Linked DNA regions of Caenorhabditis elegans. The protein of the gene in region 3 purifies or fractionates together with the protein of the main gene of each other region. This does not show direct contact. Each region holds a gene or a part of one and is shown on either strand. Other genes may lie near its edges. The genes, in order: asp-4, cht-3, hipr-1 and dbn-1.

The links.
Region 1: the proteins of hipr-1 (region 3) and asp-4 fractionate together in Caenorhabditis elegans (co-fractionation; one large-scale study listed by BioGRID). This does not show direct contact.
Region 2: the proteins of hipr-1 (region 3) and cht-3 fractionate together in Caenorhabditis elegans (co-fractionation; one large-scale study listed by BioGRID). This does not show direct contact.
Region 4: the proteins of hipr-1 (region 3) and dbn-1 fractionate together in Caenorhabditis elegans (co-fractionation; one large-scale study listed by BioGRID). This does not show direct contact.

The regions. Positions count from the first base shown.
Region 1 is NC_003284.9:13,218,477-13,223,239, forward strand, and holds asp-4 (Aspartic protease 4), read right to left. Parts: upstream 2,987-4,763; 5' UTR 2,952-2,986; coding exon 2,866-2,951; intron 2,285-2,865; coding exon 2,098-2,284; intron 2,052-2,097; coding exon 1,928-2,051; intron 1,801-1,927; coding exon 1,558-1,800; intron 1,347-1,557; coding exon 803-1,346; intron 750-802; coding exon 599-749; 3' UTR 509-598; downstream 1-508. Other genes in the region: R12H7.4 (G_PROTEIN_RECEP_F2_4 domain-containing protein), read left to right, coding at 1-3, 50-301, 351-455; skr-20 (Skp1-related protein), read right to left, coding at 4,540-4,763. UniProt on the Caenorhabditis elegans protein: Aspartic protease, which is part of the necrosis cell death pathway. Involved in neuronal cell degeneration. Involved in heat stress response.
Region 2 is NC_003282.8:7,001,861-7,009,646, reverse strand, and holds cht-3 (Chitinase-like protein C25A8.4), read right to left. Parts: upstream 6,025-7,786; 5' UTR 6,023-6,024; coding exon 5,915-6,022; intron 5,797-5,914; coding exon 5,519-5,796; intron 5,454-5,518; coding exon 5,243-5,453; intron 5,197-5,242; coding exon 5,102-5,196; intron 4,724-5,101; coding exon 4,456-4,723; intron 4,410-4,455; coding exon 4,053-4,409; intron 4,003-4,052; coding exon 3,704-4,002; intron 3,658-3,703; coding exon 3,280-3,657; intron 2,993-3,279; coding exon 2,721-2,992; intron 2,642-2,720; coding exon 2,514-2,641; intron 2,472-2,513; coding exon 2,381-2,471; intron 2,055-2,380; coding exon 1,951-2,054; intron 1,906-1,950; coding exon 1,817-1,905; intron 1,767-1,816; coding exon 1,373-1,766; intron 889-1,372; exon of another isoform or gene 868-888; intron 548-867; coding exon 416-547; 3' UTR 379-415; downstream 1-378. UniProt on the Caenorhabditis elegans protein: Putative chitinase.
Region 3 is NC_003281.10:8,718,357-8,725,867, reverse strand, and holds hipr-1 (Huntington interacting protein related 1), read right to left. Parts: upstream 5,667-7,511; 5' UTR 5,665-5,666; coding exon 5,393-5,664; intron 5,345-5,392; coding exon 5,088-5,344; intron 5,028-5,087; coding exon 4,504-5,027; intron 4,420-4,503; coding exon 4,308-4,419; intron 4,227-4,307; coding exon 3,865-4,226; intron 3,246-3,864; coding exon 3,149-3,245; intron 3,100-3,148; coding exon 3,016-3,099; intron 2,560-3,015; coding exon 1,770-2,559; intron 1,386-1,769; coding exon 1,124-1,385; intron 1,068-1,123; coding exon of another isoform or gene 1,062-1,067; exon of another isoform or gene 881-1,061; coding exon 857-880; 3' UTR 536-856; downstream 1-535. Other genes in the region: nte-1 (Patatin-like phospholipase domain-containing protein ZK370.4), read left to right, coding at 1-61, 115-275; mrpl-11 (Large ribosomal subunit protein uL11m), read right to left, coding at 7,398-7,511. UniProt on the Caenorhabditis elegans protein: Regulates pre-synaptic vesicle recycling at neuromuscular junctions of mechanosensory neurons. Plays a role in maintaining a normal defecation cycle.
Region 4 is NC_003281.10:13,758,944-13,763,862, forward strand, and holds dbn-1 (DreBriN 1/DreBriN-like (where Drebrin is from Developmentally REgulated BRaIN protein) family homolog), read right to left. Parts: upstream 3,127-4,919; coding exon 2,988-3,126; intron 2,939-2,987; coding exon 2,826-2,938; intron 2,509-2,825; coding exon 2,207-2,508; intron 2,148-2,206; coding exon 1,938-2,147; intron 1,893-1,937; coding exon 1,294-1,892; intron 1,247-1,293; coding exon 678-1,246; 3' UTR 501-677; downstream 1-500. Other genes in the region: toca-2 (Transducer of Cdc42-dependent actin assembly protein 2 homolog), read left to right, coding at 1-40, 124-298, 342-405.

The DNA.
Region 1 (4,763 bases), on a different chromosome or scaffold from region 3:
AATGTAAGCAACTGATTTTTCATGCACAGTCTGTTTTTTTGCTTTTCAGACCTGTCAGAAGTGGGCTGGTTCGGGGTGTTTTGCTAGTTTATACGCTATGTGTCCACCGAAACCTTCAACATATGAAAAAGATAAAGATGATGAAGAAGATGAGAAGATTGAAAATCCTCAGGAAAAAACACCTCTAGAAAATGAAGATGAAAATCCAGAAAAGCAACCTGGAGCTGGCGACTCGAAAGAGCCAGATGAGACATCAGGAAATAGTAGTCCGAAAAAATCAACACAAAGAGGAAAAGGACTGGTGAGTGTTGCTATCAATTTTGATGTGTCTACTATATTTATTTTTCTAGGACCCCACAAAGCACACAGAGTCTCAAAAATTCTACTCATGGCTCACCGATTCGAGCAATAGCGGAAACAGTGGAGACATTTTGTTTCGTCCATCTGTTGCTTAGTGGCGCTAAATGATCGCATTTTTCGATTATGTGCCTTCAATTGTGTTGATAGAAAAATATTTATTAAACATAAAGTGTTTTATAAAGCCAATGAATTAAAAATATTTTAAAAACCTGGATTTGTGAGAAAAATAACGTGTTGATTATTCGTCGTCTTGTTCCATGGATTCCTCACTTTCGTTGTCGAAGACAGAACGGAATGGTCGTGGAGCTGGATCAACTGGACGGCCATCGGCGGTCTTAGCTTGAGCAAATCCGACACGGTTCTGATCAAAATCGAAGACGGAATAGTACCTGATTTTTCATTGGGTTCGTCAATGTTTAATTTGAGAAAAGATATGGCTCACCTTCCAATGAAGACATCTCCAAGAATCCAGAGCTCTCCAACGCGTTCTGGGAGATCGATTCCCATAAATCCAGACAAGCAAATAGTCTTTCCACCCTGTGAAACCTTAAGGACATAGTCTTCTCCCTTAAGACTGAACTCTTGTCCTCCGATCACAAAAGAGACTGGTGGAAGTGTTGGAACCTTGTCGCAGCTGATCATGTACTCTCCCTTGATGAGAGGCTCAGCTCCAATGAAATTTTGGATGGCTTCGATTTGAGCCTTTGGTCCGGCTATGAGAGAAGTACCGGTATCAGCAATTGCTTGGCATCCATTGGAGCATCCAAGAACTCCAGATCCAACAACCTTGTCCATCTTGAATTGCCAGTATCCCTTTCTGGTGACTGGAACATAGGTGATTGGCTCAACATATCTTCTTGAGTCAATTCCTCCAAAAGTGATTTCTCCTCCAATTTCAGAGTCTGGGTTACGGTTGAGCCAAAATGAGAAAAGATTCGATGGGACCTTCTTCTGTTCGAAAAGAGTGTTGAACACTGGTTGAACTCCTGCAATAGAGTATTACAGAAGTGAGAAAACCTAGTAAGTGCTCAGAAAATAAAAGTCATTTTCTGTAATTATTGTACCTTTGATGGCATACAGGATGCAACTTATTATTACTTCACACCAAAATGTTCAATGCACAGCTTTTATAACTAAAACAAAATGCTGAACCCTTCCGATTATCCGGGTGTATCCCAGTCTACTTCAAACTCTTACCGAGAACCGCAATTTCAGGGTAAGCCATTCCGAGGATTCCGTCGAATTTGGCAGCGACAAAGGTGATTCCTGGTTCACTGGTTGCTTCAGCAAATGGCTGATCCTCAGCGCACACTCCTGCGACGCAAACGCTATCCTTTGAAATGAATCCCTTCATGGATCCAGTTCCATATTGAATTGCCATCTTTCTACCATCCTCCTTGTATGTTGACGAGCTCTTTGAGTCGTAACGGTGATGAAGCACTGAAATGAAAAAGTGTTTTATTTGTTTGTCCAAACCATAAAACTGTCAAAAACAAACACGTTTCGGTCAGCATCAGTTCACAAGAAAAAGCATGATATCAGTTTGATTTGGTGATGAAATACTTACTGCATGCAATGTCGTAGAATGGACACTTTTTCGATGGAATCCACAAATTGGAAGACCCAGTATCAAAGATGACTGTGAAGTTTTGAGCTGGAGTTCCGATTGAGATGGTTCCAAAGTATTGAGCCTAAAACTTTGATTAGTTATATGTTTTTTGTTGTTTCAATTCTCACATCCATATAGTTTCTGAGAAGCTCATCAATCTCTCCTTCAACATTCAAAGCTTGGTACTTGTCGAAATGATGATTTCCATTGGTTTTCAAGTACTTCTTATATCCATGACGATGCTTGGCAAAGGTTTCGAATGAACCGGCTTGAAGAAGAGTCTCGCGAAGAGTCGGCTGCTTCTTCAGGGAAACGCTGCAAGCAGAATAAGAACTGAGCAACTGCTGAGTGGGTCACTTGTTTTTGTTCTTGTTGTTCGGATTTTTGAGCAGTGTTGATCAACTCGAATGGGATAAGCAGGAGGGTCTTGTGACCCATCGAGAGAAAAAGTGGCATGATGTGCCTTCTCGAAATCTTAGATTTGTGAGACAAAATAGAAAGAAAAAGTGTTATGATCAAAGTAGAAAGAAGTGTTCCCAACAAAACCCAATGAATTTAAATAATCCTTTCACAGTTAGAAAAATTTTATTAGGTTTTTTTTTTAATGTCAAAATCAGATTTGAAACTACAATAAAAAACAATGGACAACTTTCAGTTCTTTATAGTATCCTGTCTAAATGAGATTCTGACGGGATTATATAATATTGAAACAGATAACAAGGTTACTCATTACCGAGGATTCAAGTATCAATCAATCTTGCACATTATCACACCTATTCAGTTATGTCATAAGTAGGTGTTTGCGTGGCACCTAATATTAAGAAACATGACCAACATTTTCACTATATCGATGATCAAAATGAGGTGTCAACAAACCTCCAACGACCTCTACTTACGTTCTCAATTTCTGTTGCCTCTTGTGAACATGAAGACCTTGAACGAGAAGAAGTGCTCCGAGGAGCAAAAGAATACAGCGGTTCATCCTGACGATGAAACTAACTGAATGCCTCTTCCGATCTCAATTGTGCCTTTTCTTATCTCCCCTTTCTCTTCATGATGACTCCGCCTTGTTTCTTTGCCGGCACAACAGCAGCTGCAAGGTCAACTGTCTCGTTGTTATTCCTCCAGCTGTCATGCATAATTATCGGAAAGTAAATTCTAAACATTCAAAAAATGGCCTGACCGTTGTCAACGTGTCCGTCTGTACCGGTGAGATGACAAGTTTGAATGATAAGGGAATTGTGAAACTTTGTTCTGTTTCGATTTAGGGGAGAGAAAATGGGATAATTTCAAAACTCGGCCAAATCAAGATCCTATCTAATTTTGTCTTCAAGGTTGTTGTAGACAGTAATTGGGACTTTTGACGGAGTTTGAAAGACAGTTAGTCAATCACGCAATGGACTATGAAAAAAATTGCATGGCCACTTTTGAAATAAAACCAAAACGTTTGGAAGACCAAGCAATTTTAATGTTAAACTGTTAAACATAGAAGACACAAAAGCTCTGTAAATTGAGGTTTTTTTGTGGATGGAAAATAGCGTGGATGCTGCCCGTTTTTTCCGTCTGATTTGTGAACAACAGTGTTTGAATGCTAAGGATAATATTGATTTAGGTTCATTCATCTTAAAACAACTATGATTGGGTTATAGCTTTACAAAACAGATTCTACAATTGTTCAAGGGCTCCTATATCAAGTAGTTGCTTAAATTAAGCCTATAAAATATACAAGTTGCGTGGAAAACTTACAGGAGATTTAAAAATTGTTTTTGAAAAACTATATACAATTTTCGTATAACATTGTTGACATTTTTGTTCAATGTTCAATTTTCAGTTTTCATTAAAATTGTTGATGAAATTATCATGTCCTAATGCAATGTCCTAATGCATACATAAAAAATTTTAGATGAAATGGATTAGCATGAAAAAAGCTATACAATAAAAACTATTATTGGAAACAACCGGCACTGGATATATGAATATTATGTATCTTTTAATCACAACTCTCGAAAAAGTTATCCCCCCAAAGTCTGAAGAATTGAGCATAGTGAAACTTTACTTAACTAACAAAATTGAAAAATAATATTCCACAAAAAAGGGCAAATTAAGGCAGATGAAAAAAAAAACTTTAAAAAAAAGCACACTATTAAATTTTCCAGATTTAGTAATCAGAACGCTGCATTCAATTCCGTCATGAAGTTTATAAACGTTTAGTTCTTTTAAAACCTAGTATTTTGCAATAAACACCAGAAATGTACAAGTTCGGCCAAATTGGATGCAAAATCAGAAAAAATCGGAAATAAAAATCCGGTAATTTGGGGGCTCACCTCATATTCTGAAACAACGAGAACTTGATTTACATATGGTTCTTTGATATTTAATTTTAAGCAATTTTTTAATTAGTAGTGACACTTTAGTTGTTTGTTTTGTTTTCCAACTATTCTTTTACATTCTTATAACTTCAATTTTTCATTTATGAGGTTTGTAAAATAATTTATTCACAAATAAACTTGAATCAAAGTGTATAAATATATTCTTTCAAACATCTTCTTCACAATATGTGAAATTAAACATCAATCAGAATCCGTTGTGAATGTCATTGCAGATGTTCCCTCTCCACCATTTGCCAACGCTTCCTCCATTTGTTCTTCATCTGACCTGATTCCATAGATCTTGCGAATTTCTTCCGTGCTTTTTCCTCGAATCAATTCTGCTGCGGCTGCACACCCCATATTCATCAAATCTTCGACTCCAAGCGCATGAGAAGCATTGAGTAGTGCAAAAAGAACTCCCGATT
Region 2 (7,786 bases), on a different chromosome or scaffold from region 3:
CACTTCTAATGAAAGAAAAATCTCTTTATATTATATTTTTTGATTTTGTTAAAGCCTTTAACAAAGTTTCACACAGTCTCTTAGGAAAACTTGCCAAGTTCGGTCTTGACTAGCTTGTTTCTGGTTCAAGGAATTCCTCGATCACAGAATATTCACCGTCAAAATCAACAAATTTGTTAATTTGTCCAAGTTAAATGAACTTCCTCTAGCACCAACTAAGTCTACATTATTATCACTGGGAACTTTGAACAAAAACCATTCATATTTTGTAAATGGTGTCCCAATTCCCCCTTCCCCGCTTTTTCCCTTTTTTTTCGTAAAAAAAAATTTGGTCGTGTGGGAGAGTTGAACTCATCCATTATCGATATCAAACGAAATAAAATAATTATTTATCAAAATTGTGAAGTTTCAGAAATTAACGACACTTATGGGAACTATAAACAGATTTCAGAATTGGGAATGATCCACGCCCACAGATTCCAGTATAGTCATCTCCATTTACATTCAATGCAATACCGCCGAGCTGTTCACGTTGGATGTAACCAATCTGAAAATTTGAATACTTGAATAAAAAATCCTAGAAATTTGATAGAATTTCCAGAATTTCTAGAAAAATTATTATATGTACTGTATTTGTAGAGATTTCAGCTATAATATAATGTGGCTTTTGTTAAACTTTTAATAATACAACATGACAGAATATCATAATGGAACCTTTCAAAAGATTTTAGACTTACGATTAGCAAATTTTTCCGTCAAATTGTTGGAAAATTATCAGATTTTCAAAAACAATCACATTTTGAGAAATTTTGAAAAAAATTACTGTTTCAAAAAGTTTACAAAAAATTTTTGAAAATTTTTGATTATTGTACATCCATTATTCCAAATTTTGGAAGTTTATCTTATTAAATTTTGTCGGTAAAGGCACATTAAAAGCCGATAGGTAACCAAAAATCATCAAAATTGGTTACCTATCGGCTTCAAATGTACTGTAATAAACGAAATTAAATGATATAGACTACCAAAATATGCAATAAAGAACAATAATTCAAAAAAAGGGCAACTTCGGACCGCGATATGGAAAAGTGGGTAAAAACGAGATTTTACCTAATAGCAGTGTAACTTTTTCAAATTTTGAACTGCCACAAAAAATTTTTGATATTATTTTTTGAGAAGTTTCATTACGAAATTTGTTCTTTTGAGCCCATGTTGAGTCTATTCAAAATCGTCCGAACCGTTAGTCCCCCTTTAAACAAAACAGTAATTTATTCTACTTTCGTGAAAATGTGAAACTTTATTTTTTTAAGTGGGGTCTCGCCAGATCTCAAAATCAGTCATCACGGGAGCTATAAATGCCAAAAAAGAAACTTACTTTGTATCTAAAATCTTCAATCATTGGCATGTTGATAGTTCCATTTTCATGTTTGGTCATTCCTGTCAATGTTTCATAATCATGTTCGTAGACAGCTCTATTCCCAGCAGTTACACAATTAACTCCTTGTGTCATTTTCTTCTTCTCCCCCACTTTCTTTCCAGTCTGCCAACCAAATGGCGAGAGTTCCAAAACTAGCTTATCCGGTTTCAGTCCCACATTCTTCCAAATATTCACAAATTTCTCAGTTGACGGGAACTCAGGCTTTGTGTGATTGAAGAAGAATGGAAGATCAACGGAATGTTTATCAGTCATTCTTAATGCAATGTGAGACAGACGATTCAATAGAGATACACTGTAGTACGTTGACGGCTTTTGTGTGTAATGGGAAAATCTGAAATAATGGGATATATAGCTTTTTAAAAACCTCTATGAAAAGGTTGCCTTGCTGAAAGTGTCCTGTTACACCCATTGGAAGCCTTGCCGCTTTCAAACTTCTGTGCCAATTTTTTGACGAATGTGTTGAAGTAAATCTGAATAGATTCATAGGTAATTTATTCTTAAACCTAATAAATTACATGGTTTCCTCTGCGAATCACTTTTTCACAATCCAATTGTACTCCAGAAAATTTGTACTTTTCCATAATATTCATCACGTTGCCAATTGCAAATGTCATGTTGTCTACAATATGGAAAAATTGGTTATGGGCTTAATTTCGAAGTTAACAAAAATCAAATGCTTTTCAATAAAAATCATGTACGAGTTAACTTTTGGATTTTCAGACACCCAACCGCATCAAGATTTTTCAGATTTTGTTTCATTTTCAAAAACTTCAGAATCCTCGGCCACCTTAAAATCTCTCAAAGTCGTAATAGGTTTGCAAAAAATAAAAAAAATCGAATATTGGAAGTATGCACTGAAAAAGCTTTCAGGAATATGTTTAAGAGCTTTTCTTCCAGGTAACATGATCTTAATTTGTAATTTACAAATTGTAAAATGAAACTCACCACCAAGAATTGAATTCAAATATTTCTCAGAATCACCGCATGATAGTGAAAGCACCATTCCACATTTAACCATTTTTGACCTCAATGATGTCTAAAACTCATTATAGACTACAAGGCAGGTGCGAAAACTTACCAAATTCTTAACAACTTGTTCTTGTTGAACATCATTGAAATTCACATTTCCACCTAAAGTGAGTGTTGCCTGCTCAACGACAACTTCCGTGCAACGCTCGTATGGGACAATGTCCGTTTTGAAAACAGCTGAAAAATATTAAATTTTTCAAAAATAAAATTTTCTGTTTCAAATTTCACACATCAGAAAATCCAAAAAAAAGCTTACGAGTGCTCCTCTTCAATTCAAAATTGCAGCTAACCACGAAATCGTGTTGTTCACACTTTTTGAAGTCATGCTGTTTCAGGCAAGTCTGACAAACTTGAGCACGAGAAAGAGCATTTAAAATGGGGAATGCAGTACGGTTATCACAAACTGCACTCGGATCGTCCTGGTGCATGTTGTGAAGAGCAAGTCCTCCAACACCTTCCATTGATGCCCATACTGCTTTGATGTGAGCACTACGAGTATTCTCATATGCTACCATTTGATCGTATCGTCTGAAGTTATTGCATTTTGTGATAATTCACATTTTGGTCCTGGTAGTAACTTGAACCACTGGAAATTGACTTGCTAAATCATTTTCCGTATTTATACTTAAATATAAATTTAAAAATATTATTTTGTTAAATTGAGATAGAAATACGAAACTAATTTCCAGTTTTTCTCATGTCATTAAATTGGCTTAAACTTTTTCGCTTTGTACACTGGGGAAGTTTATTTGAAATAATTTAGAATAAAATTCTCAAAGGGCTCAGTTCACCATAAATCCCAAAATATTACTTACCTCAAATATGGTACTTCAGCTCCATCAACCCAATGAGTGACACCAGTTCCAGACTTCAGGCTTTCACAGATCTCCTGCTGACTATGAATATCTCCTTTTTTCGATCTCAACATTGACACAAAAGCTGATTGTCCAAATGGAGTTGCAGCTGAGCTTCTCACATCAGCAAGTGATTGCATGGATAAAGTGGATGCACTCAGAGACAATACAAGTTTTGAAGGGAGTACACGTTTTTCGACCCAGTGAGAGAGCAACGATTCCCAACTCATTTTTTGATTAGTCATTGATGAAGTGGCACGAAGAGGTGAAGGATGTCCTGTGAATGGAAGAGAATCCGAGTGAAGACGATGAGAGTGAAGGACAATTAGTGATGCAGTTCTAAAATTTTTGAATTAAAATAAATATTATATTAAAGTAAACCAACTTGTTCAAATGCTCATAATCATAAAAGTCCGAATAAGCGCTCTGTTGTGAAGTTGCCACAACGATCTCCACCATCTTTGCTGTGTCCGCTGCGACGATATCATTGATAAATGATTTCAAATTCTTCTTATCAAAATCGCTGACCATTGGTTGAGAAGTCCACGAAATCTCAAGCCCATCTGCGTTTGTTGAATTGATTGCTTTAACAAGACCTTCAGCAAGTTCTTTTCTATGAAAATCGTTTCCAAGGAGGAATTGCCATATTGTTGAGGCTTGTTTTGATCCGACAGAAAGAATAAGCTGAAATAGTTTTCCTTTGAAATCTGAAAACGGTTTCAAAGAGTTCTTACCCTCGGTGCCACTTCAACTATTTTGCTTCTCCAATCATCAATTTTCTTCACCAGATCTTCGGCTTTATCCTCTTCAATCATTTTGTCGGAGAGATCAAGGGCGAAGTATGGAACAACAATATGACTACAGTAGTCAGATTTCAGATTATCAATTGGGAATGTTTCCTCAACCTCCTCCGGATCCAAATAGCAGAGTCTTGTACATTTGGCTGGATTCGCAGGAATAGTATTACGAATTAGTTCCATGACAAGACGATGAGCTGGCAACGGATCTGTACCACAGTCTCCACGTGGATCATCGAAGAGGGCGTGGCTAATACCAATTCCAGCAAACTTTTGACCCAATATCCATTTCATCTGGAATTCAATAGGTTTCATGAGCTAAAGCATAAGTTGCAACGACCTTTTCTCCCATAGCCTTAATTGTTGGTAGATTAACACTCATCCACGTCTGACGGTACACGGTAATTTCATTCATAGTCTGCCAATCATAAATGACAGCTCCTCTAGCTCTACAAGCATCTTGATAAGAAACTCGTTTTCCATTATTCTCAGCATATTGTCCATGAGAGATTTTTAATGGATCTTGAGTCTCTTTGATTTCAAATTTCCATCCTCCAGCAGTCAGTCCAACTACGATACGTGAAGGGAGAATTCCTTCTTTTGACAACCTTAAATTTTTATTGTTACGACAATAGGTGTTTTATACACAAAACGAGTAAAAACCTTCGTTATTAAAAATGTTTTAGAATTTTAAACATTTTTTGAAAATTTTTTGCAGAATTTTGTAACTTTCTTTCAACATTTTGAAAGCATCGGATGGTAAAAAAAATAAATGAAAAGATAATAATAACATAAGAAACAGTAAAATTAAAAAAAAAACATTTTCCAAAATTATGAATTGCAAAAAATGAGGAAGTGGCTATGTTTGACAATAACTTAAACACAAATCAAAGTGAAAAAGTTTTACTGTGATATTTGGAATTTTTCAAAAGACAGACTTTGAAAATTCCGTATTGGATCTAATTCACCTATATATTTTGACTTACTCTTCGACAGTTCCTTGAATTGTTTCCTCAAACGGAATTGATCCATTATAGAAAAGTGGATTTATGTGTGTGACTCTGGCAAGTTCCTCGTTTGACTAAAAATAACTCCAGTCAACCATTTTTTAAACTGAAAATACTTACTGGCAATTCTCCCATATCCAAATAGATATACTCAACGAGATCATTGATTTCTTGAAGTCGTCTTAATGCATCAAATGCAAAAACTCTTCTTCCTGTGACTCCAAATGTTAACGACATCTTTTTGTCTTTTGAAATCGTTTCAAGAAAACTCGTTGAGGCTCGATACTCAAGGTGAATGCCGTTGAAAGTTACAAATAAACCATCGAATCTTCTGGAAAATAAATTTTAGTTTTGATAAAGCTGTGATGACCAATTTCCCAAAATTCTCAAACTCACTTGCTCTTCACATGAGATCGGAGCCCGTTTGCAACCTTCACCGATGTAGCCGCGTCTTCAAACGGTTTTGTTCTAACAACTCCCATCAAGAGTTTGGCATTTGGATGATATTTTCTCAATCTCATGAAAGTTCGAATATTGTCAATATCATATCCAGACTCAACATCGGATACACTGTACTGTGGATATCCAGTGTCTCGATCAATTGGAATACTTCCATACACTAAATGGGTGCACGTTGTGATGTTTTGAAGAAGATTTGGGGAGAGACGAGTTTTCTGCAATTTGGAGCCTTTTACAATTATCAAAACTATTAAACCAATATTTAGTAAAAAATATTTTTTAATTGAAACTCTGATTGACATTGCTTGTTTGATAACATTTATGGCTGCTTACCGGTGGAGGATTGACAAAACAATAATGAACAGGAGCATCTTCATCACTTATCTCACAGTATATGCCTACTACAAGTATTGACAGCCAAATGAGGGTTTTTATACCCATCTCTAAAAAGAAGAAAGATTATAAAAACACAATAAGAAGGTGAAAAACTCTGAGGAAAAATGACAGAAGCATGCTGATTCTATCTCTTTTATATACGATTTTTCGTGCCCAGATTCAACCAGAAAAAAGAGCTGACCTGCAGATAAAAAAAGCGATTCGGGAATGATAAAGTGGGCGGAAGATCCAAAAGCCTCGCATACCACATGTTATTGGTTTTTAGGTGATTGATTTGAAATTTCGTCGCTGAAACCGAGATTTGACTGGTTGTTGGCTCTCTGGGAAACAATTGCATGATGTAAGAAAATGTTTTATTTTTAAATAGAGATACGGATGCTTGTAGAAAGTTTTGTAGTTTTTTTAAATTTAAAGTTTGGTATCCATAAACTTCACGTTAAATCAGAATTAGAGAATAAATTCCAAATCAATTGACATATTTCCAACTTCTCAAGGTTTTTCGAGCCTGCAGTTGAAGAAAAACTGTCTTTGTTTTGAAATTTTAAAACATTTTAGCCTTCAAAGGTTAGAAATAATTGCTCCATTTTGGGTGCAACGGTAAATTTGATCACCTCACACCCCTGACAGGTACATTTCCACAAGATATCAAGGAATTTTACAGTTACGAAATTGTCTTTCACTTTTTTGTCAAAACCATTTCTAACTCTCCCTCGGTTTTCAATAAGATCTCAATGTTTCATAACCACCCACTTTTTCCCTTAACCTTCCGTTTTCAATTTTGATCTCCCTGGGGACCAATATTTCAGTATTCCGTATGTTGACAAACCCTTTTCCCTTCTTTTCTCCTGACAAGAAACACTTTTGTCCTCGTCCTTCTTGTAGTTGTCGCCGGCGTTTTTACTTTTTCTCGGGTGGGGATAGTGTCCCTAGACAGAAAATAATTCGTCATTTTTGCCGCCTCACAAGTTAGTTTTCTAACTGTCACACAAATCCTACAATATTTCATTTATTTGGGATATTGTTTTGAATAAGGCGACAAAGCAAAAAGATCCATTGGGAGTTTAACCTGATTTATAAAAGACAGTCGCCAAAAATTATTCGAAAGTTTTGATCTCAAGATGGGTAGATAAATTTTTGAAGTCCTACTGGGAGGCACCGCGGTGGTTTTGAAAATTTCAGAAGTTGTATCGACAAAAGCGGCACAGAGCATTTTTTAAAATAAAACTTTCCGTGATATTATCATAATTCTCGGAAATCTGAATGAGTGTTTTCATAAATATGAGCACTTTTTCGTTTCAGCAGAACTAAATTTTCATGTATTTCTCAATATCTCATATGATTTCATTTCTTTTCTTAATGTGACATGACATTACTGTCATCACCCAAACGAGTTATTTATGACGAGTTTGCAACATCTGCAGTTCTCACATAAATGAGTAAGGAATAGAGGGAAGAAACGGCTAATATGGGTTTTGAGGTTAAACATGTTGCCTTACAATCAATGATTTTTCTTCCGTTAATTTCAAGTATCAATTCACAATATGAATGTTTGTTTCAATATTGTTTTTTCTTGCACTTTTTTGCTCAACTTTGCTTTGTCAAATTTCACTTATTTTTGCCTGTTTCAACAAATCTTCAATTACGAATAAAAATACAAAGTTGTTTCGTTTTTAAAAAAGTTTTTTCGTTTCCTATTTCAACATTCTATGATACTGCTACAATTAGAAAAAACCTAGAAAAATTCCTAGTCACGAATAAGTAATGGCATAAGGGGATTTGCTCCCAAAGACTGGATTCTCTGCTGTCAGT
Region 3 (7,511 bases):
GCTAATGGACCAGTTGGAAGAGCCGGCGATCATTTCCTATTAGATGATGATTTGTTTAATGGTGAGTGATATAAAAGTTTTGAAGGTTTAGATGATAATAACGAGCCATTTTAGATACCGATTATTACGAGGAGGAATCATCGCAGTCTGAAAATGGAAACGAGTCGTTCACAGAAGATGAAGATCTTGTCATCGGTCCACCGAGCAGCTCATCGTCTGGTGGAAATGTTAGTGAAAATCCACGTGGCACAACTCCACGACCTCCTTCTTCCTGAATCAGGAATCTCTTTTTTGTAGAAGTTAAGCAGTGGAGCACAAAAGGATGTTCCATACGTTTTTTGAAGATCTCGTTTTTATAGGTCCCATAGAAGTAGCTTATTTTTGTAAATCGATCCCTTTTGTGTCAAATATACATATTTCCTCCCTTACTTCTCTCTCCCACCGTCCCATCGCCTGAATTTCATTACGGGGTTCGAATGCTCTTCTTCTCAAATGTATAGAAAGTTGTGAATTGTGTTCCGGATAAATAAATATTTTTGGAAATCAATTTCATATTCAGAAGTTGTTTCTTACAATTTAAGGGGGATGCTTTTAGAATAAGAGATTTACAAACATTTACAAATTATAAAACATTTCTCTATAGACTGTTGGATGGGCACCGAAATCACAGGACACTGGGAGTGACTAGTTTCTCAAAGTGGGACGATAAAATTGGTATAAACAAATTAAGCAGTGGAGCAATTTGAGATTTTAGTGAAAAAAGAGGGTAAGGCATTGATGTATATAAATATGGTATAAAAAAAAAGCAATTTGAGTAAGATTGTACAATTTTGGAAATACTCGGATAGATTGTTGGTTATTCCTGAGCTTCTTCTCCTTCCTGAAATTTAAATTGATTTAAACGAGTTGTAATAATTTTCAAATAAGGTGTAGCTTGTTTTTGTATTCTTGGTAAATGTGCACGGGATACAAACATAGGGAGTGATGTTAAAAGAGAGCTTTTGGGGGGAGTGCTCAAACCTTTAAATTCCTTGATTCCTAATTCGATAGTCAGTTTTCTATTAGCTCTGTTAATGTTTTCAGGTTTTAAGGAAATACATGTTCCTATTTTTTAAAAACTAACCTTGTTCGCAACCAACTGAGCCATGTGATAATGCTGCTTGCGGAGAGCCGCCAACTTTGCTCTTTCTTGATTCAAACTTTGCTCCAATTCCAGCATTTTCACTTGTGATTCCATTTCTTCTTTCTTCGCAGCGTGCAACGAAAGATATGAGAAATCAAGTGAACCTTCATCGTTGAGAGTTGTTTGACCGTTTTTGACAGCAGCAACCACCTGGGCAGTATTTTGATTAACGGCTTTTGCAGCAACCGAGAGAGCGTCCAATCTGAAAATATTGTCGAATTTAGAAACAAATTCGGTTAAGTTTTAGAAACTACTGAAATAAAATCAGTTCTTTTTCCTTGAAAATTTTCGTTCAGAAAAATGAAAAAAATACTTGTTTTAAAAGTTTTCTGATTTTCAAAAAATTATTGTTCTTCCAATATTTCGAAACATAGCTTTAATTTTTGACGATTTTTCTTATTGATATGTCGTTGTTTGTGTTTTGGAAAAACCAATGAAATCTGAGCCACAACAAGAAGTTGACAACTACAGTACTCCTTAAATGCATACTATCTTTTGAATTACAAGAAAAACGGTCACTTCGAGATTTTAAATTTTCGAGAAAACCTCAAATTTTGGCATCGGATAATATTTCCAAAAAACTCACTTTGACGAATCCTTGTCAGCTTTTACTCTGCTGGAAACAAATAATTGTGCAGTTGAAGCTGCAATCTCTTGAGCAGCAACAATCAAATGCTCGAATTTTCCTTTTCCAGTCACAACACCATCAGCTGACTCGACCAACACTCTAGCAGCCACACCAACAGCTTTTGCAGCTGACAAGAGTCCTTCTGTCCATTGATGATTTCTTTTGTAGAATTCTGCAGGCGATCCTCCTGCTTTTCCAGCTGCGACAATTTCAGTTTGAAGTTCTCTTGATGCAATTACTAATTGCATGATTACTGACATCAAAGCTTGACAATTTGCAAGAATCGATTCATTCACTTCAAGACGAATTCCATCTGAACTCTCACGAGCTCTTCTTTGAATTGCTTCAATTTCTTGAACAGCTCTTCGAATAGCATCATCCATTCGTCTCATTTCTTGTTCCAATTCATTTCCAACAACATCTTTATCAATATCTGTTTGAAGAGGAAGTGATATCATCAATGAATTCAATGTTTGTATATCTTGTCTAAGTAATTTCATTTTATCAGCTCTTGAAAGAGCACTGTCATCAGAAAATGCAACTTTTGCAGCAGCCAGAACCTTCTTGCACTGATCATTTACACCTTCATAACTCTCGATACTTGCAGTGTAAGCAGCTGAAGCTGCAGCAGAGAGAGTTGTAGATAAAAGATGTCCAGCGAAAACATTATCCTTTGTAGCGAGTGGTTCATCAAGACGTTCATTCGAGAGAATATTGACGAGATTATTCATTGCTGACTGGGCGAGATCTGAAAATTTCAGTAATTGAAGTGGTTTTCTTGAAACAATTTTCAATTTTTCCAAATTGTTGGTTTTAGTGTTTTTGGGGAGAAAAGTATTTTTGGAAAATACAATCAATGTTTTAATTTTACTTTTTTTAATGAAAAAATACTCGAAATTTTAATACGAGTGCATTTTTGATCATATTCTTCAAGTTTTTAAAAATAACGTTTCAACATGTTTCGTTTTAAAAATAAATGTTGATTCTTCGAAAATCATGTTTAAATTTTGGCCATTTTTACTCACTTTAGAAAATGAAATTTTATAAGGTTTTTTCGATTCAAAATAAACAAAATTTGATAGAATTTATTTTTTGTTAATTTTCTAAACTTTTTTAAATGTTTCGGTTTTCCGGTAGAAAACTTTTTTCGGTCACGATTTTGAAAATAACACTTTTTTCTGACTCAGCCCTGATGATGACTTACGTGGAGGATAAGTGATAGACGTAGCATTCTGTAGAGCATCTTCACAATGATCAAACATTTGTGTAATTCCAACACCAGATTCCTCTGAAAATTAAAGTATTTAAAAAAAATACATTTATCCAAAATTTCTTACTGGCTACTTCTAACTCAGCGAGCCGGATCTTATTAGTTTCTTCAGCAGATGATTGAACTAATTGATTGGCGTGTGATTCTCGAAGATGATCGATTGTCTGTAAGAAATAAATTGTTTTTTTTAATATCTATACAGTGATAATGTTTTTACATGATTCATTTTTGACATTTAAATCGCGAGGAGCGAATTGCATTTTCTCTTCATAAAATATGCTTTATACTTCCAAGTTTCGGTTTTTCGACTTTCGTTTTCCGATTTTTCGAAAAATAGTTTAAAATTTTAGCCATTTTTCGTCTTCATAGAAACTTACTTAGTTTCCTCGTGTTAAACAAAATTAGTTTTAAATGTAATTTTTTCGATATATCGATTTTCCAGAAAATCGGAAATTTTTGTTTTTTTTTTCAGATTTTCTAATTTTTCAACAAAAAAACAGCATTCAATTTTTTAAACCATTTTTGTTTTTTTTTAAGAAAAAAATATATATTTTCTTATGTTTTTCTCATCAAAATAAACGAAATTCGAATGAAAAAAAAAATGTTTTCTTCGATTTTTTGATTTTCGGGAATGTTTATTTTTTCGATGACACCCTTTCTCTCAAAGTGAGAATTTCAATTTTAAAAATTTGTGAATTTATTATGATAAATTTAATTATAAAAAAAGTCTAGGAGTTTCCGAATTTTGAATGTATATAAAACTTTAAAAAATTCAAATCTTACCCTTTTCAGCTCCTCAACTTCAATATCAGCCTTAACCAATTGAGTTCTCATCTCATCAACTGCTCCAGCATCACCCTCCGCCTTTGTCAAAGCTCTTCCAGCTTCTCGTTGAGCTTCTTCTACTTTTCGATTCAAAGCAGTAATCTCTTCGTCCTTATCGAATTTCGATTTTTCACTAGCTTCTAGTTGTTTTTGAATATCTCCTAATTTTGTGAGCGCTAAAACGTGTTCACTTCGGAACTTTTCGTAAACTCCTTTCATTTTATTAAATCTTTCCTCAGCTGCCGTTGCTTTCAATTCTGCTTCTTTTACACGTGCATCGTCTGTCTGAGTTCTTGATGCATCACGAAGTGCAAGCTCGTCTGAAAATATATCTAATTAATAATAATCTGACTTCCAACTAATTTTGAGAAAAATATCATTCTCCAAAAAAAAAAACGAACTCTTCAGTCTCTGTGCCTCCTCTCGATTCTCATCAGCTTCTCGTTTTGCGTGATCAAATTCTCCTTGCATTTGCAATAAACGGTTCTCATATTGTTCGATGCGGCTGCGCGCCTGGAAAATAGTAAAAAATGTTGTATTTTGTTTATTTTTATGATAGTTTTAAAAAAAAACTATATTTTAATAATCAACTCTTACTTCTTGAATGAGTCGTTCCTTCGCAAATTTTTCATCTTCAACAGCACGACTCAACATAACAATTTGTTCTTCTCTAGGATCTGGCTGACTCGATGGACTCGCTTGTTGTGGCTCTGCTTCAGCTAAATTCAATAATTCCCCGTCATGTCCGTTGAGAGAAGTTCCATCTTCTGAACCTTCCGAATGAAGATATGCATGAGGTGTTCGATAAGATTCAAGATCGGATTGTTGAAGGAAGTTCGGTGCATGAGATGGCAATGTTGGAATTGAAACAAGATATTTGAAATACTGAAGATTCGATGATTCTTCGTAAAACTTCTTAGTTCTCTCGAAAATTGTTCGGAATCTGGAACGATGACCTTCTAATGCATCTGGAGGAACTTGACTATGAAGTTTGAAGATCATTTTAACGAGATAATCGTAGAATTTACTGGTATCCAGAATTGCAATAATCAGTGGAGAAAGCATACATTGTCCTTGTGGAATTAGAGAATTCCAGCGTAGGGAATTCATCATTTCATACACTGAAAAATAGAAAATTAATAATTCAATAATTTTCCAGACTTGAAAAAATCATTACAAACCTCTATCCTGCAATACAAGAAGTGCATCCATCTGATCCAACATATCAATTGTCATCTCAAACATATTGTCTAAATCTCCTTCTAATGTTTTCAGTTGTGAATCATTCAAATCCAACTTCCCCGGAACAACTGGATATTTGTTGTGAAAAGTGACTCGATCGTGAAGTAATTTACAGTATGACTCAATGCATGGACCATATCCACTTGTATTCAAATGTTTCCAGAATTGAGAAAGTTGAGTGAATCGATTAACATATCTGAAAAATATTGAATTTAAGATTATCACTCCTTCAAAGAAACCCCACCTGTAAGTCTCTTCAGGAACCTTTCGATGTCCATCTCGAAGCAATTTGTGCACCAAATGACAGAACTTCCAAGTGAGTACAGGATGTTTCTCCAACTGAATCCGTCCTACAGTATGCCAGAAGATTCCAGATGATTTCTCCTTGTGTGTTCCTACTATTATGGTTCTCGCATGTTTTGGTTTCAATGGAACCTCATTTTTCGTGATCGCTTTCTGAACAGCCTCCAGTTGAGCTCGAACGAATACCTCGCGCGCTTGAGCACGATGATCCATTCCTGAAAAAAATTAATTTTTTTGGGGGCATGTGATAGAAAAAGTGTGAGGAGGAGATATGACTTGGCACATAATTTGCATTTTTGTTAAAAATTCCAATTTCAAAGAATATTCAAAACCCTGAAATCAAAACCATGACAAATCAATCTATTAGTTGCAAAATTGAGGAATATAGATGAAAAGTAAGTCAACTATTAGGCGAAAAGCTTTCCTCCCGCATATTTCATCACAGTGTGTGTGTGGCAACAAGCCGGTTCCGCGCGCGTTGTGGACAAAGTGAGTCACAAACAAAAACAGAGAGAGAGAGAGAGGGAAAAAGAGAGGAAATGATGTTATTTAGAAGAGAGGAAAATGAATCGGGTATCGCATATAGGTACTCAAGATTCTTATGATTTGTTCCATATTCGAACTAAACAGCAAAAATGGCTTGAGTTGAGAAGGCGAAGTGATCAGGTTAAGACTTTTTTGGTATTTTGAGTCACATTTTTTGAGAAAAAAAAGGTTTTTTGGGACCTAAATGAAGCCAAAAAAGTCACTTACAGTCCTTCAAAAATCGCAAATCGACGATTTTTTTTTTGGTATTTCACTTTAAATTCTTTTTGATTTTTGGTCCAGTCCTGGTAGTGACGACATATTCAAGAAACACTAAAACTTCAGCAATGTAACCGATTCGAAATAGTTCATAAACCATGAAACTTGCAAAAGCTTTACAGCTGTTTAATCGAAAACTTGTTCAGACAATTGAAAAGCAAAAAGTGTTTAATGAGAAGTTTCCACTTTGCAAAAGAAAACTACGTGAAAAAGATAGTCTAACATTGATTTTTATGTGCATAAGACCTCAAATGTGTCTTCTTCTTCTTTCAGAAACTTGTGCAAACTATACCACCGGGGGCAAACACTACAAAATGGTGACTCTTTCTCGCTATGCTACGGAAGTTTTTGTATTCTTACAACACAATTTCCGTAAGGGTTTTCGTGTTCACTGAACGGTGTTTGAGAAATAAATGGAAATGGGCAGAGAGGAGAAAAGCGAAAAAGACATGAAAGAAAATGGGAAAAGGTTTCGAATTTCGATGAGAAGTGAGCGAGTGTATTCCCCTTGCGTCGATTTGCAATTTGCATACTTGGAAGTTAGTCTCATAAAGAAAAGGTATTAAACGATGGTGGCCGGGAAATCGGGAAGTTATTCAATTCTCGACTGAATTAAAAATCGTTTAAAAACGAGAATCAAAACTTTTTAAAGAACAATGACTGCTGAATTTTAATGAAAAAAAATGTTGCTCTTCGAAATTAAGCTTCAAAAAATAATAGTTCTTGAGCTTCTTAGACAAAATATGACATCAATGGCTGGTCAACATTAAAATTTTGAAAACGAAGTAACTGATAAGCTCATGAAATTGTCCTTTTTCTCATCGAGACACAATGAAATGCATTCATGCCAGCAGAAATGCAAACATAAATGAAACGGAGGAATGTCGGATGCTTGAAAACCAAAAGAGTATTGCATAATGAATAGAGATGAATTAAAATGTGAAAAGAAAATGTTTAAATTTTTCGAAAATATTAATCTGTATTAAATTCTGGAAAAATATGTGAAAATCGCTGGAAACGATTGGTAATCAAATTAATCCAGAAAATAAAAATGAGATTTATTGTAACGAACAAAAACAACAAAAATTACTAGAAAAAAACGTCTATCCTAGGAGGATATTCCTATAACCAAACAAAATTTATTAAGTGGTTCGGAGCATCTTCGCCGCCTTTTTATCTGCCAAATCCTTCAACTGAGCATCAACTTTCTCTTTCCGGGCAACTAAAAATTCTTTCAATTCGACTGGATCCAAATC
Region 4 (4,919 bases), 5.0 Mb from region 3:
GAAATCTCATCACCAAAGATTCTCAGATCCTCATTTTCAGGTTAAATTAAAAATCCATTTTTTTCCTTTTAAAAGCTTTTATAAAAGAAAAAATAGTTAAATATAAGTATAAATTTTTTGCAGGTGCCATTCGCAAATCTTTATCGACTCCCGATTCAGTTAAAGTCGAGACAGCGGTTACGGTAACCGCACTGTTCGAATTTGCCAAATCCTCCGCGGAGACCATGTCCATCGAGCAGGGCGAAATTCTTCTCGTACTCGAACACGATCACGGAGATGGATGGACTCGAACCAAAAAGTAATACAAGTAACAAAGAATTACCAAGTAAATAAAATGAAAGTTGCAGGAAACACAACGAAGAGTCAGGATTCGTGCCAACTTCGTATTTGCAATTCCCCCAGTGATTTCATAAATTAAATAGCATTATCATCATCAATATTGTACTCGAGACTGCGCTTATTATCGTCCTGTGAATGAAATAATTGATTATAAAAACAGATTCTTCGATTTTCGATTCATATTGCCATTTACGGAGAAAATGCACATAAAAAGTAATGGTATAATAAATTACAGGAAGTGGGAGAATGGGAGGCACCGCGGATTGTTGAGTTTAAAATGGGAAAAAAACATTGCACAATAAATTAGTAAAAAAGAACGGTTAGGCTATCTAGACAAATTAAATCAGCTTCACATAATTAGCGGGAAAAAGGCCTACGCGGCCGCTGGGCGCACGTCCTTTCCACCATCCGCTATCGACTTGATCGATATCTGTGATAATGTCATCAGGATCAAATGAGATCTCCGTGTCATCTGCAGCCTGGTAGTCCCAGAGAGCCATCGCGTTCTGCTCGGCGACCGCCGGCGGGAAATCGTACTGATCAATTGGTGGAGCAGCGACTTTTATTGGCGAGGATTTCGGTGCAAACACGGGCTCCTCTGGCATCACTGGAGGCATGTCATACTGTGAGGCGATGTGAGCTGGCAGTTGAGAGCTCGATGAGTGAGAGTCGATCGGCTCCGGCGGAGCATCATACTGAGACGCATAGTGGGAAGGAGCTGAAACTGGAGGTACAGCTGGTTCGAAAGACTCGTGAACCGGTGGAGCATCGTACTGGGAGGCGTAATGCGATGGAGCTGGAGTTGGCTCAGGTGGAGGTGGAGCAATGACCGGGGTTGGAGCAAGGAATGTAGGTGGAGCTGGCTCTGCTGGTGGCTCTTCGTATGCATCGTAAGAGACGGCAGGTTCTGAAAATATTCAAATTAGGACTAATAAACTTTATACGAAAACTGACTCATAGCCTCGGGCTTGTAAACCATTGGCTCTGGCTCATAAGCTATTGGCTTTGGCGTATACGTCGAAGGCTCATCTGGCTCAGTGAGTCGGTTAACGGGTTCACGGGGCGGAGAGGTCGTGCCAACTGGCGGCCACTTCTTAGGCGATCCATTCACTTGAGGCTTCGGAAGCACTGGACCGGAAGGTTTTGAGCTGAATAATTCTTTTCTGCTTCCAACGAGACCTGCGCTCGGAGTGGGGGCGGGAGCTGGAGCTGGATTCACCGAAGATGGCACGGGCTTATCACTAATTTGAGCCTTCCCGTGAAGATCATCCGCAATCCGTTTTCGATCCGTCTCGAATTCCTTCTGCTTCTGGGCCTGTGCCTCTTTTTCCTCCGCTTGCCGCCGCTGCTCCTCCTCGTTCATCTTGCTCCAGAACTCTTCGCGAGCTGATGAACTGATCTCCACGTGCGGTTTTGTTGGCTTGTACACCGATGTGACCTTATCCGGTTGATAGTTTTCTGTTTTGGAGTGAATTTCCGAGGCCATTCGCTGTCGATCCGCTTCGAACTGCTTGTGTGCTTGTTCACGAGCGGTTTTTTCTTCTTCTTGACGCCTAAAATTGCGAATTCTATTTCAATAAATTACTCAAAACACCCACAGCTTCTCCTCCTCGTTCATCTTGCTCCAAAACTCCTCCCGTTTGACCGTCTTCAGCTCAACGTGGGGCTTCGTCGGCTTGTACACCGAGTTAACCTTCTCCGGCTGGAAATCTTCGGCTTTTGTGTGAATTGCCGCGGCCGTGCGATCACGGTCAGCTTCATACTGCTTTTGCTGTTTCGCATGAGCCACTTTCTCGTCGGCTTGTCGTCTGAAACTTCTTAGAGGTGATTACTTGATTTTCAGGACACGATTTCATGTAGACAGTACCTCTTCTCCTCTTGATTTGTTGTGCTCCAGAAGTTCTCGCGAGCCTCCGAGCTGAGCTCCGAGTGTGCATTCGTCGGCTGGTACACCGAATTCACCTTCTCCGGCATGCTGTACGTGGATTCGACGATGGCGTTGGCGTTCGCCGCCGGGAGCTTTCGCACCTCTTTTCGAATCGCGTCCGGCTCGATGTCGATTTCCGATCTGGCATGGAGCACAATGTGAACTGTTTTCAAGAATCTACGGAACTCTTCAGCGTGCGGTGTCGTTGAGGCCAAACGCAGTGTGGGGACTCCTTCGCCTTGCTGCAATATTCAAACATTAAAATGGTTTTTTTCCTGGAACTTCGTGTTTAAAAGTATACAAATCTCGATACATCTCTAAAAATATTTGAAACCATAACTGACAAAGAATTTTTGGAAAAAACTACAGTTTTTGTTTTACAAATGGATTTTTAAAAAAAATTTTCAGCAAAAAATCTCACAATAGCGTTATCTTTTGAGAGGAACATGGAATGCAAGCAAATTGACATGATTTTTGTTAATATTCAACTTTTAAGACCTAGTAATCACGAATTTTTTCGATTTTCGTTTTCCTTTCAATTTAGCCGTAAACTCCATACCCAATGCACCAAAACGATTTTCGGGAAGACATCACTGCTCAGTCGCACCGAAATCACACCAAACTGGAGCTTTCCCGAGCTGAAACTGTCGGCGAACTCCTCAAGACCACCAGCTGAAATAAATAGATTTTTAGGAGGGAAAGCAACGAAATCTGAACTTACTTCCTTCTTCTTTGACTCGTAATGTGTTCGAATTTCCTTCATAATCGAAAATCACCCATTTATCGCCATCTGAGTCATCACTGGCACGCCGATACGACGCTTCAATCTCCTTGCCGTGTGCATGATAGTTGAGAGTCATCTGGAACACATACAATATAGGGTTCGACGACCTATATTGTAATTATTAAGCTAAAATCGAGGGAAAATTGTAATAGTGACGCGATAAAAAGCCTCCGAATGGTCTCCTTATCATTTTTTTATTTTCTTTCTACGCAGAACTTATTTCTCTATGGTACTCCATTAATCACACTATGTTTCGCAACATATGGCAAATTTGCCACAAAGGTGTGCATTTTTCTCGATTTGATCGAGTCACGAGGTAATTTTCAATTAAGGCCGAGAAATTTATGGGTTAATATAAAGAATCTCAAGTAAAAAATCGTTTAAAAGACCATTTTCGGTAGTTGACCAGGAAATGAGAGAACGGAACGGGCGTAGCCGCCAGCAAACATCTCTCGTTCCCGCGCCAGCGGTAGGCAGAGACCCTCCAGAAAACTAAAGAAATGTCTCGAGAGATGTTTTTTTTTTCCGGTAGGCGAGATTGAATTGGAATCAAAGCTTAATCTTCTCGCGGTCGAGTCTCCGCGTGCGTGTCTCACACATTTTTGCATGAAAAACTCCGGATTCTATGGTCTGATCGTTGCGATTAAAAATGGAAAACTAATAGGCTGACCGACAAAAATTTGCGAAAATACCCAATTATTTTCAATGCAAAGATACAAAATTTGATGGAAAAGAGAAACAAATAAACTTTCAGAAATCAGGTTAAAAGAGGATGGGTCTCGCCACGAATAGATTTTTAAAGTCATGTGCCTTTGAAGTTACGGTAGTTGAGCGGCTTCAAATTTATTATTTTTAATTATGGCAATATTTTCACTTTCTGGTTAATTTTAAGCGAAAAATTGAGTTTGGAGGAAATTTGTTTCGTTTCAAATTATTTAAATTGTTTTGAAACAGAAAAAACTAAAGCTGTAATTCATCGCTTAAAATTTTATATTTACAGATATTTCTGATCTAAAAAAAACAGAAGAAAGAATATTCAAATGTTCAAGAAAGAATGTCAACAGTACTGCTAGAAATTCAAAAAATAAATCTAAAATTTGGAGCGTTTGAAGGTGGTTTAAGCTTTCATGAAAACATTTTAAACGATCTGCAGGTTAAAATCTAAATAAAAATAGGTTTTCACATTGAAAAACGGCATAGATGATTAATTTCAACACATTTTTTAGATTTTCTACATATGTACTCATCTATTTGAAAACGAAATTGAAAGGGATAGAAAACATATTAATAACACTAATCAAAAAGAAACATTGGCCCCAAGATGTGTGTGAGTCACTTTTGATTGTGTTTGTGTGTGTTGGGCCAGTTCAGGGCGGCAGTAAGATAGTAAGGGAAATAGTGAGGCTGTCCGTTAAGACGCAGCAGTTCAGAGCGCTCAGTGGAACATACGACCGCCCTTAATGGCTGTCGTCTCTCACTCGTATGAAGTCGGACACAAGAAGTATGTAGTAGTAGTGGTATATTTAATTGTTCGTGTGTGTAGGTCTTTACTAAAAACTTTTCCTTCTAGGTGACCCTAAATCTCTTCGCTTTTCATACTGTCTCACAGTCAAAGGGTTAAAGCAGTAAATTTTGGGATTTTCTGCAGAATGACTAATCTCTTGATGACTTCTCTACTTGCGACTGTTTGTTTGCGCATTTGTGAACTGAGTCATTCTGATCATTTTTGGGGGAATGAATTGTTCCATCAGGTTGATTAAAAAATAGTTGGTGAATCGAAATTTCAAAAAAAAATTGAGGCAGGATGTTTCGCGCGCTGGGTAGAGAAAAACGATATTTACATAAAATGAACAAAGTGAAAACATAGAA